2 linked regions of the Danio rerio genome follow. Each later gene encodes a partner of the first gene's protein in a complex. Links are inferred from orthologs where the notes say so. Each region holds a gene or a part of one and is shown in the gene's direction. Other genes may lie near its edges.

Evidence for each region. Proteins that work in one complex are often made in the same cells at the same time.
Region 2: polr3b (region 1) and polr3glb share a complex: the UniProt entries of both Homo sapiens proteins name them as parts of the RNA polymerase III (Pol III) complex. The link is inferred for Danio rerio from reciprocal best matches to the Homo sapiens genes POLR3B and POLR3GL.

What each region holds. Positions count from the first base shown.
Region 1 is NC_133193.1:16,747,174-16,750,687, reverse strand, and holds part of polr3b (DNA-directed RNA polymerase III subunit RPC2), read left to right. Parts: intron 1-640; coding exon 641-768; intron 769-1,980; coding exon 1,981-2,190; intron 2,191-2,375; coding exon 2,376-2,534; intron 2,535-2,895; coding exon 2,896-3,013; intron 3,014-3,106; coding exon 3,107-3,249; intron 3,250-3,514. UniProt on the Homo sapiens protein: Catalytic core component of RNA polymerase III (Pol III), a DNA-dependent RNA polymerase which synthesizes small non-coding RNAs using the four ribonucleoside triphosphates as substrates.
Region 2 is NC_133191.1:47,264,622-47,268,907, forward strand, and holds the start of polr3glb (DNA-directed RNA polymerase III subunit RPC7-like), read left to right. Parts: upstream 1-1,485; 5' UTR 1,486-1,680; intron 1,681-1,914; 5' UTR 1,915-1,917; coding exon 1,918-2,025; intron 2,026-3,728; coding exon 3,729-3,858; intron 3,859-4,286. UniProt on the Homo sapiens protein: DNA-dependent RNA polymerase catalyzes the transcription of DNA into RNA using the four ribonucleoside triphosphates as substrates. Specific peripheric component of RNA polymerase III which synthesizes small RNAs, such as 5S rRNA and tRNAs.

The sequences.
Region 1 (3,514 bases):
GTGTAAGATTTGTCACATATATAAATTTTCCACACCCTCAAAATGTCCAGTTTAGCATGGATGATCTATGCTGATGGCAGTTCTAGGTACAGTATTTCCAGTAGTGAATACAACGAGTGCTTAACAGACAGATCATGAGGGGATTTCCACCTCTGTACCAACATTTTCTTGTAGCAGTTGAAGCAGCTAACCAAAATTTACGATCCTTTGTGTTTAAGGGAAATTGAGAGTTATCATTCAGCAATAACAATACAGGAAACACATTTTTGTAGCTTTAAATAAAATGTCCTAAAGTTTCTGCTCCTCCGGACATTCTCACATTATTTGTCAATAGGGTTTTATAGATTCTGGTTCACTAAACTTAAAATAAGGATGTTGTATACATGTGGTTAAATATGCCCTTTGAATAGGTTTGAAATGAATAAACGAGTGATTAGCGTTTGTGGAAGCGTGAAATGTATTATCCTACACTGTTTCCCAATCAATAGTTTATTACCCACATTTTCACGAAAGTTATTTAAACCATTAGAATGGACATTTTACCTGCACGTAAAATTCTTTCTATTTACCTAAAATCTCTTCTTAAAGTTTTAGTTGATGACAACACTAATATGACCACCCTCATGTTTTTCTCAATCAGAGATACGACTCATTTGGAGATCGAACCCTTTACTCTACTAGGTGTCTGCGCTGGTCTGATCCCTTACCCTCATCACAACCAGTCCCCCAGAAATACCTACCAGTGTGCCATGGGCAAGCAGGCCATGGGTAAGACCACAAACATCCTGGAGGAGCAGTCGCACTTACAAACACACACACTTCTATTCACTCGCTTTTCACAAAACCACATTCTGCATGTGGACATCAAACATTGCCTGCTTGCGTAGTCCCACTTTTGTGAGTGAGTGTGTGTGTGTGTGTGTGGAAGAAGGCCTTTCCCTGCCAGTGTCTCTGAGTGTCATTAGCCATTCATTGTGTCCTGAGCTCAGGGTTAGTGTGTGCTCAGCTGTGCAAGAGCGAACGAAAACACACACACACACACACACACACACACACACACACACACACACTTTGCTGCCCTGGTTACCAAAACTACTTAAACCTCTCCTGTCCACCACCCCCATTACAAAAACCACTGAGACTGCGACTATATTTGGCCCAATATCCTCGGCCTTGTCTTCTTTTTTTCTGGACGGACAGCCCCATACATGTGCAAATCCAGTTGTGTGGCCCCGGCCCTATTATAACACACTGTGTGCTTGTAGCCTGATTGTAGAGTAATAGCATCTGACAAATGTCAAGGCCTCAAGGGACGTCGGCTATTATAGTATAAACCCCCCCCCCCCCCCCCACACCCCTCCATCTTCTCCATGCTAAACATCCATCTCATAGATTTTAACACTATCGACACAGGCCTTTACTCCAACAGCCCTCAGGCAGTCTGTGAAATGATTGAATTTAGATTGATTTGATCTACTGAATTAGTTAATTGGAAGCAATGTAATGGATTTTGTGGTAATAATTTACATTAAACTTTTAGATGTTAACATTTGTTTTTGTCATTGCTGTCCTTTTAATTTAGCTTTTCCTATTTTTCAAGTGTTTTGTAATTTATTAAAATGTATGTTTCTTGGGAATTTTCTCCTTTTTTTGTGCTACTTGTGACACCAAATGAAATAGTCTCTAAACTAATTTCACAAACACTGCCTTATCTTACGTTATATGACCAAAGGTCAACCTCAGAATCACACCACTGACTGAACCAATATTTATAAAGGATTTTAGAGCAAAAGTGGCAAAATGCCTCATAAATAATAATACTGTCATTAAATGAAATATTATTTTTATTATTATTATTATTATATATGTTAAATGCAATTTTACATATTTATGAATGCATTAATATTGCACTTTTCCTTTTAAGTTTTGCGTGGTCCTTTTTTAGTGACGTCTCATCCTGTCATCACTGTTTCTGATTAGGTACTATTGGCTATAATCAGAGGAATCGTATAGACACCCTGATGTACCTGCTGGCATACCCACAGAGGCCCATGGTGAAGACCAAGACCATCGAGCTGATAGATTTTGAGAAGCTACCCGCCGGCCAGAATGCCACAGTGGCTGTAATGAGCTACAGCGGCTATGATATAGAAGATGCCCTGGTGCTCAATAAAGCTTCTCTCGACAGAGGTAAGAGCTGAACTCTTAATTATGACCACATTGGCAAAAAACAAACCTCTCTCATATTTAAACACACTTAGAAGTGTTCTTAGCATGCAGGAGAGAATATTTTTACTTTTTTAACAGTTATTGAGTATTTTTAAGTATATTTAAGTATATTACTGTTGTATTCTGATTTTTCTTTCTTGTGTTAGGCTTTGGTAGATGTTTGGTGTATAAAAACGCTAAGTGCACCTTGAGGAGGTACACAAATCAGACTTTTGACAAGGTGATGGGTCCAATGCTGGACGCAGAAACGCGGAAGCCCATTTGGAGACACAGCATCCTGGACGCTGATGGCATCTGCTCACCTGGTAGACATCTACAATTGAGATGTGTCTAAAAATGGATAGTTCACCTAAAAATGAAAGTTCTGTCATTATTTTCTCATCCTTCACTTGTTTCAAACCTGTTGGAGCTTCTTTCTTCTTGAACACAATAGAGAATATATTAAAGAATGTTGTAAAAAAAAAAAAAAAAAAGCAGCCATTGACATTCAGATTATTTTTGTTCCTACTACGGATGTCATTGGCTGCTTTTATCTAATATTCTTCAGAATTTCTTGTTGTGTGTTCATCTGAACAAAAACAATCACTTGAGTTCATTTTTTGGGTGAACTATCCCTTTAAAATGTTAATCTAGCAGTGTGTGAAAGGTGCTTTATGCTTCTTGTAGGTGAGAAGGTTGAGAACAAACAGGTGTTGGTGAATAAGTCCATGCCCACCGTCACCCAAACACCACTGGAGGGCAGTGCCCAGCCAGGCCAGCCACAATACAGAGAAGTGCCAGTCTCGTAAGACACCGTTCTTAATTTTCTAAAAGCCAGACACAAGTTTGTTGTTGTCATTCGATAGCAACCCAAATGCCCACTTTGTTGGTTCTATAGGTACAAAGGAGCAACAGACTCCTACATTGAGAAGGTGATGATCTCGTCCAATGCAGAGGACGCCTTCTTAGTCAAGATCCTGCTCAGGCAAACACGCAGACCAGAGATCGGAGACAAGTTCAGCAGTCGACATGGACAGAAAGGTAGCACACAGTCCTCTTTTAAACTGCCATCTTCTCTGCTTAGTGTCCAAGCTATATTTTGTTTTTCTTTACACATATTCACACAGTAGCGAACAGCATTTTAAAGAATACTGTTTCATAGCATGCTCAACATGTGTGTGGTCTAGTGTTTTTCAAAAATGTCTCCGTTCTCATTTAAAATGCAGTTGTGGATGGTTTAATTCCCTCACAAGTGCCCTTTGATTTTCATTTGCAATAAAAAAATCCAAAAATTTAGCGATATTAA
Region 2 (4,286 bases), on another chromosome or scaffold:
TTCCCCCTAATTTCTGTTTAACGAAAAGAAGATTTGTTCAACACATTTCTAAGCATAATAGTTTTTTAATAAACATTAACTCATTTCTAATAAGTGATTTATTTTATCTTTGCCATGATGACAGTATATAATATTTGACTAGATATTTTTCAAGACACTTCTATACAGCTTAAAGTGACATTTAAAGGCATAACTAGGTTAATTAGTTTAACTAGGCAGGTTAGGGTAATAAGGCAAGTTATTGTATAACAGTGGTTTGTTCTGTAATCCAAGGGTTCCCAAACTTTTCAGCCCATGACACCCAAAACGACAATGCCAGTGACTCGCGACTCCCAACATCCTCTGAGGTGGTTATAAGTACAGAAACCCATGTCTATTCTTTGTGGAATTAATGTATGTCAGTGCTGTTAATGTGCCAGAAAGTTTAACCTGGTGTTATAAAATCAGTCTGTTACATCTGACGCTATTGCTGTCTTTAACATAATGTAATTACCCCAGGGGTCGCAATCCAATAGAACTAGTAACTAGAAGCTACTATAGTAACTCAATACAGCAGTATATAGTGTATAAAGATGTTAAAATGTTAAATCACTATAAAGATGATTTAGATTTTTCTCTTCAGTAGGTTATGGATAAAATATGGTAATTCTTATGGTTTAATAAAAATAACTCGATTTTTGGAAATAACTAGGCGACCCCCCCCCCCTTCATTGTCGCGCGTCCCCCACTTTGAGAACCCCTGTAGACTATCAAAAAAAAAAAAAAAAAAAAAGCTTAAAAGGGCTAATAATTTTGACCCTAAAAATTTTCATTGAAAAATTCAAAACTGCTTTTATTTTAGCCAAAATAAAACAATTAAGTCTTTCTCCAGAAGAAAAAATATTATCAGACATACTGTGAAAATTTCCTTGCCCTGTTAAACATCATTTGGGAAATATTTTAAAAAGAAAAAAGAATTCTAAGGGGGGCTAATAACAATACCTCAACTGTAAACACACACACACACACACACACACGCATGCACGCGCACACACACGCACTGTGTCTGTGAGTATTATACAATAAAGCCATGAATTACAGAAATATCTATACTGTATGTACACGGACAAATATGTTTCACATATGTAATAAAGTGTTGTAACTTAGTTATAGGCTACATAAACAGTAGTTTTAATAAATAATAGCCAACATTTAAAACAGATCAAAAATGTTTATCAAAATTTGTCCTAAGTTAAAAATGTGTGTTGTTGAATAGTTTTGGAACAACTTTGATAAAGGTTTTGATCCACTTCAAATGTTGACTACAGTATAATAATCTTTAGCATGTGCATCAGCATCTCTGTGAGCAATATGCAAAACATGTAATGAATCCTTACATATTTTGTAATGATTTGTTTGTTTAGCATGATTCACTTTGAGTAGCACTGGTTAACGTTAACTGACGCGAAACGCGGAACCATAAAAGACCGCGCTCATGTTTCTGGCAGGAGTGTTTTCAGAAGCGGGCAAAAACAAACGGGCAGATGTTTGGCGGGTGATTTTATTGCTCAATTTTACATCAATAAAACCTGAAATTACATTAAAAACAACCACGTTTACTGACGGATTAACCAATAAAACCTTTGCACAATGAAACGAAGTTGAAAATAAAGAGGGATTTCGCCGCATTGAGTGAAAGAGGTGTGTTTATATGCTACAGTTCGGTCAAAACAAATAAAACGTTACATTGAAAATAAAACATTTACCAAAAGTACATTTATGTAAAAATAAATATTTTAACATGTTTGGCCTAAATGTGTCTTTTCTAGCCGAATTTAGTTGTTTGATAATGAGTAAACTTATACTGTGAATAACGGATAAACGAGTTAAATAAAGAGGATGTATGATTAATAAATGTGAAATATTTTGTCTCAGATGATGGCAGGAAGGGGCAGAGGGCAGCTCACTTTCTCTGTGGAGATAGTTGGGATCGGTAAAGGTGAAAATCTCCCTCCGTCCTGCATCCAGCCGACACCTCTGTTCCCCGTGAGTCTTCAAGACACAACAATAAAGCCTCGTTTATAAACTGTTATACGCTTGTTATACACTGCTATTATCAAGATATGAGTCAGATTCTGCATTTCATGAGCATAAACGCAGTGCTTTAATAGTTTAATGTGGATGGCGTCACGAGCTACACAGAAATTGCATTGAAAAAACGGTCCTGTTCAACATTCAGCAAACATTACATTTTAAAAGTGTCTAATATCACAACAACATATTTGTTTAAATATTTGTTTTAGAATTCAAATTGTTTTATTGTTGAACACATCATCACAGTATTCCACCTTATTTACCTTAACAGTTACATAATAAGCCACTTACACTCACCGGCCACTTTATTAGGTACACCTTACTAGTTTTGGGTTGGACCACTTTTGTCTTCAGAACTGCCTTAATCATTCGTGGCATAGATTCAAAAAGATACTGGAAATATTCCTCAGAGATTTTGGTCCATATTGACATGATATCATCAAGCAGTTTGCCCGCTAAACATCCATGATGTGAATCTCCTTTTCCACCACATCCCAAAGATGCTCTATTGGATTGTGATCTGGTGAATATTGTGGCCATTTGAGTACAGTGAACTCATTGTGATGTTAAAAAAAAAAGTCTGAGATGATTTGTGCTTTCTGACATGGCGCGTTATCCTGCTGGAAGTAAGAGTAGAAATCAGAATTATCAGCCCCCCTTTGAATTTTTTTGTTCTTTTTTATATTTTTTAAATGATGTTTAACAGGGCAAGGACATGTTCACAGTATGTCTGATAATATTGTTTCTTCTGGAAAATTAAAGCAGTTATTAATTGTTAAATACCATTTTAAGGTCAAAATTATTAGCCCCTTTAAGCAATTTTTTTTCCGATAGTCTACAAGCCATCATTATACAATAACTTGCCTAATTACCCTAACCTGCCTAGTTAACCTAATTTACCTAGTTAAGCCGTTAACTGTCACTTTAAGCTGTATAGAAGTGTCTTGAAAAATATCTAGTCAAATATTATGTGCATCATGGCAAAGATAAAATAAATCAGTTATTAGAGATGAGGTATTAAAACTATTATGTTTAGAAATGTGCTGAAAAAAATATCTTTCTGTTAAACAGAAATTGGGGAAAAAAATAAAAAAGGGGCTAATAATTCTGACTTCAACTGTATGTTTTTTTTATTTCAATTAACATTTTTATTACAGTAAAGAAAATAATTTTATTGCCATTTTAAGTGTCTGTAGATGTCTCTGCCATAAAGACAGTACATAATATTTGACTAGATATTTTTCAAAATACTAGTATTCAGCTTAAAGTGACATTTAAAGGCTTAACTACAGTAGGTTGATTGGGGTTTATTAGACAAATCATTGTATAACAATGTTTTTTTTCTGTAGCCAATCGAAGAAGAAAAATTTTCTTAATGGGGCTAATAATATTGACCTTTAAATGGATTTTATTCTAGCCGAAATAAAACAAATACGACTTTCTCCGGAAGAAAAAATGTTATCAGACATACTGTGAAAATTTTCTTGCTCTGTTGAACATTATTTAGGAAATATTTTAAAAAAGAAAAAAATCATTCTGACTTTAGCTGTATGCCCTATTAAAAGCTGATTTCTGTCTTGGCATGTGTAAATGAGTGACAGCAGGTGTTTGTGTGAGCAGCAGACAGATGTGAATGTGCTGTTTGATGTGTTCAGCCTCTGGATCAGAAGCCAGTGCCCCTGCAGGCAGGTGAGGAGGCCGAGTACATGCTGGCCCTCAAACAGGAGTTTAGGGGAGCCATGAAGACGCTCCCGTTTTACATCCGTCCAGCGGCTCCCAAGAAAGGTCAGTTCAGAGCCCAGGACTAGCTCTTTACTGACATCTTTAAAGGGCTTATATTATGCTCATTGTATCATGTCATTTTTTTTTCGAAATTACATAACATGCGATTTCTACACTTTGGCACATATGCAATCCTTTTTTTCTAATCCTGAGTCTTAATGCAATTATTGTAAATAACATTTAAAGGTGCAAATGTTTAAAGGTATGTAATTTGACACCCAGTGGTTGAACTAGGAATTACATTCCAGAATCAAAACATATGCAAGTGCAGGTTGCCAGATGACCAAGAGGAGCGAGTCTCAAGCCTAATGTAAACCGTGTTCAGTATAAAAGCAACGGCACGTGATAGAACAAATATTTTCCATATTAAAAGGAGTTTTTGTCCTAACCAACACCTCGAATTGATATGTTAGAAACGGCTTTTATTTCAC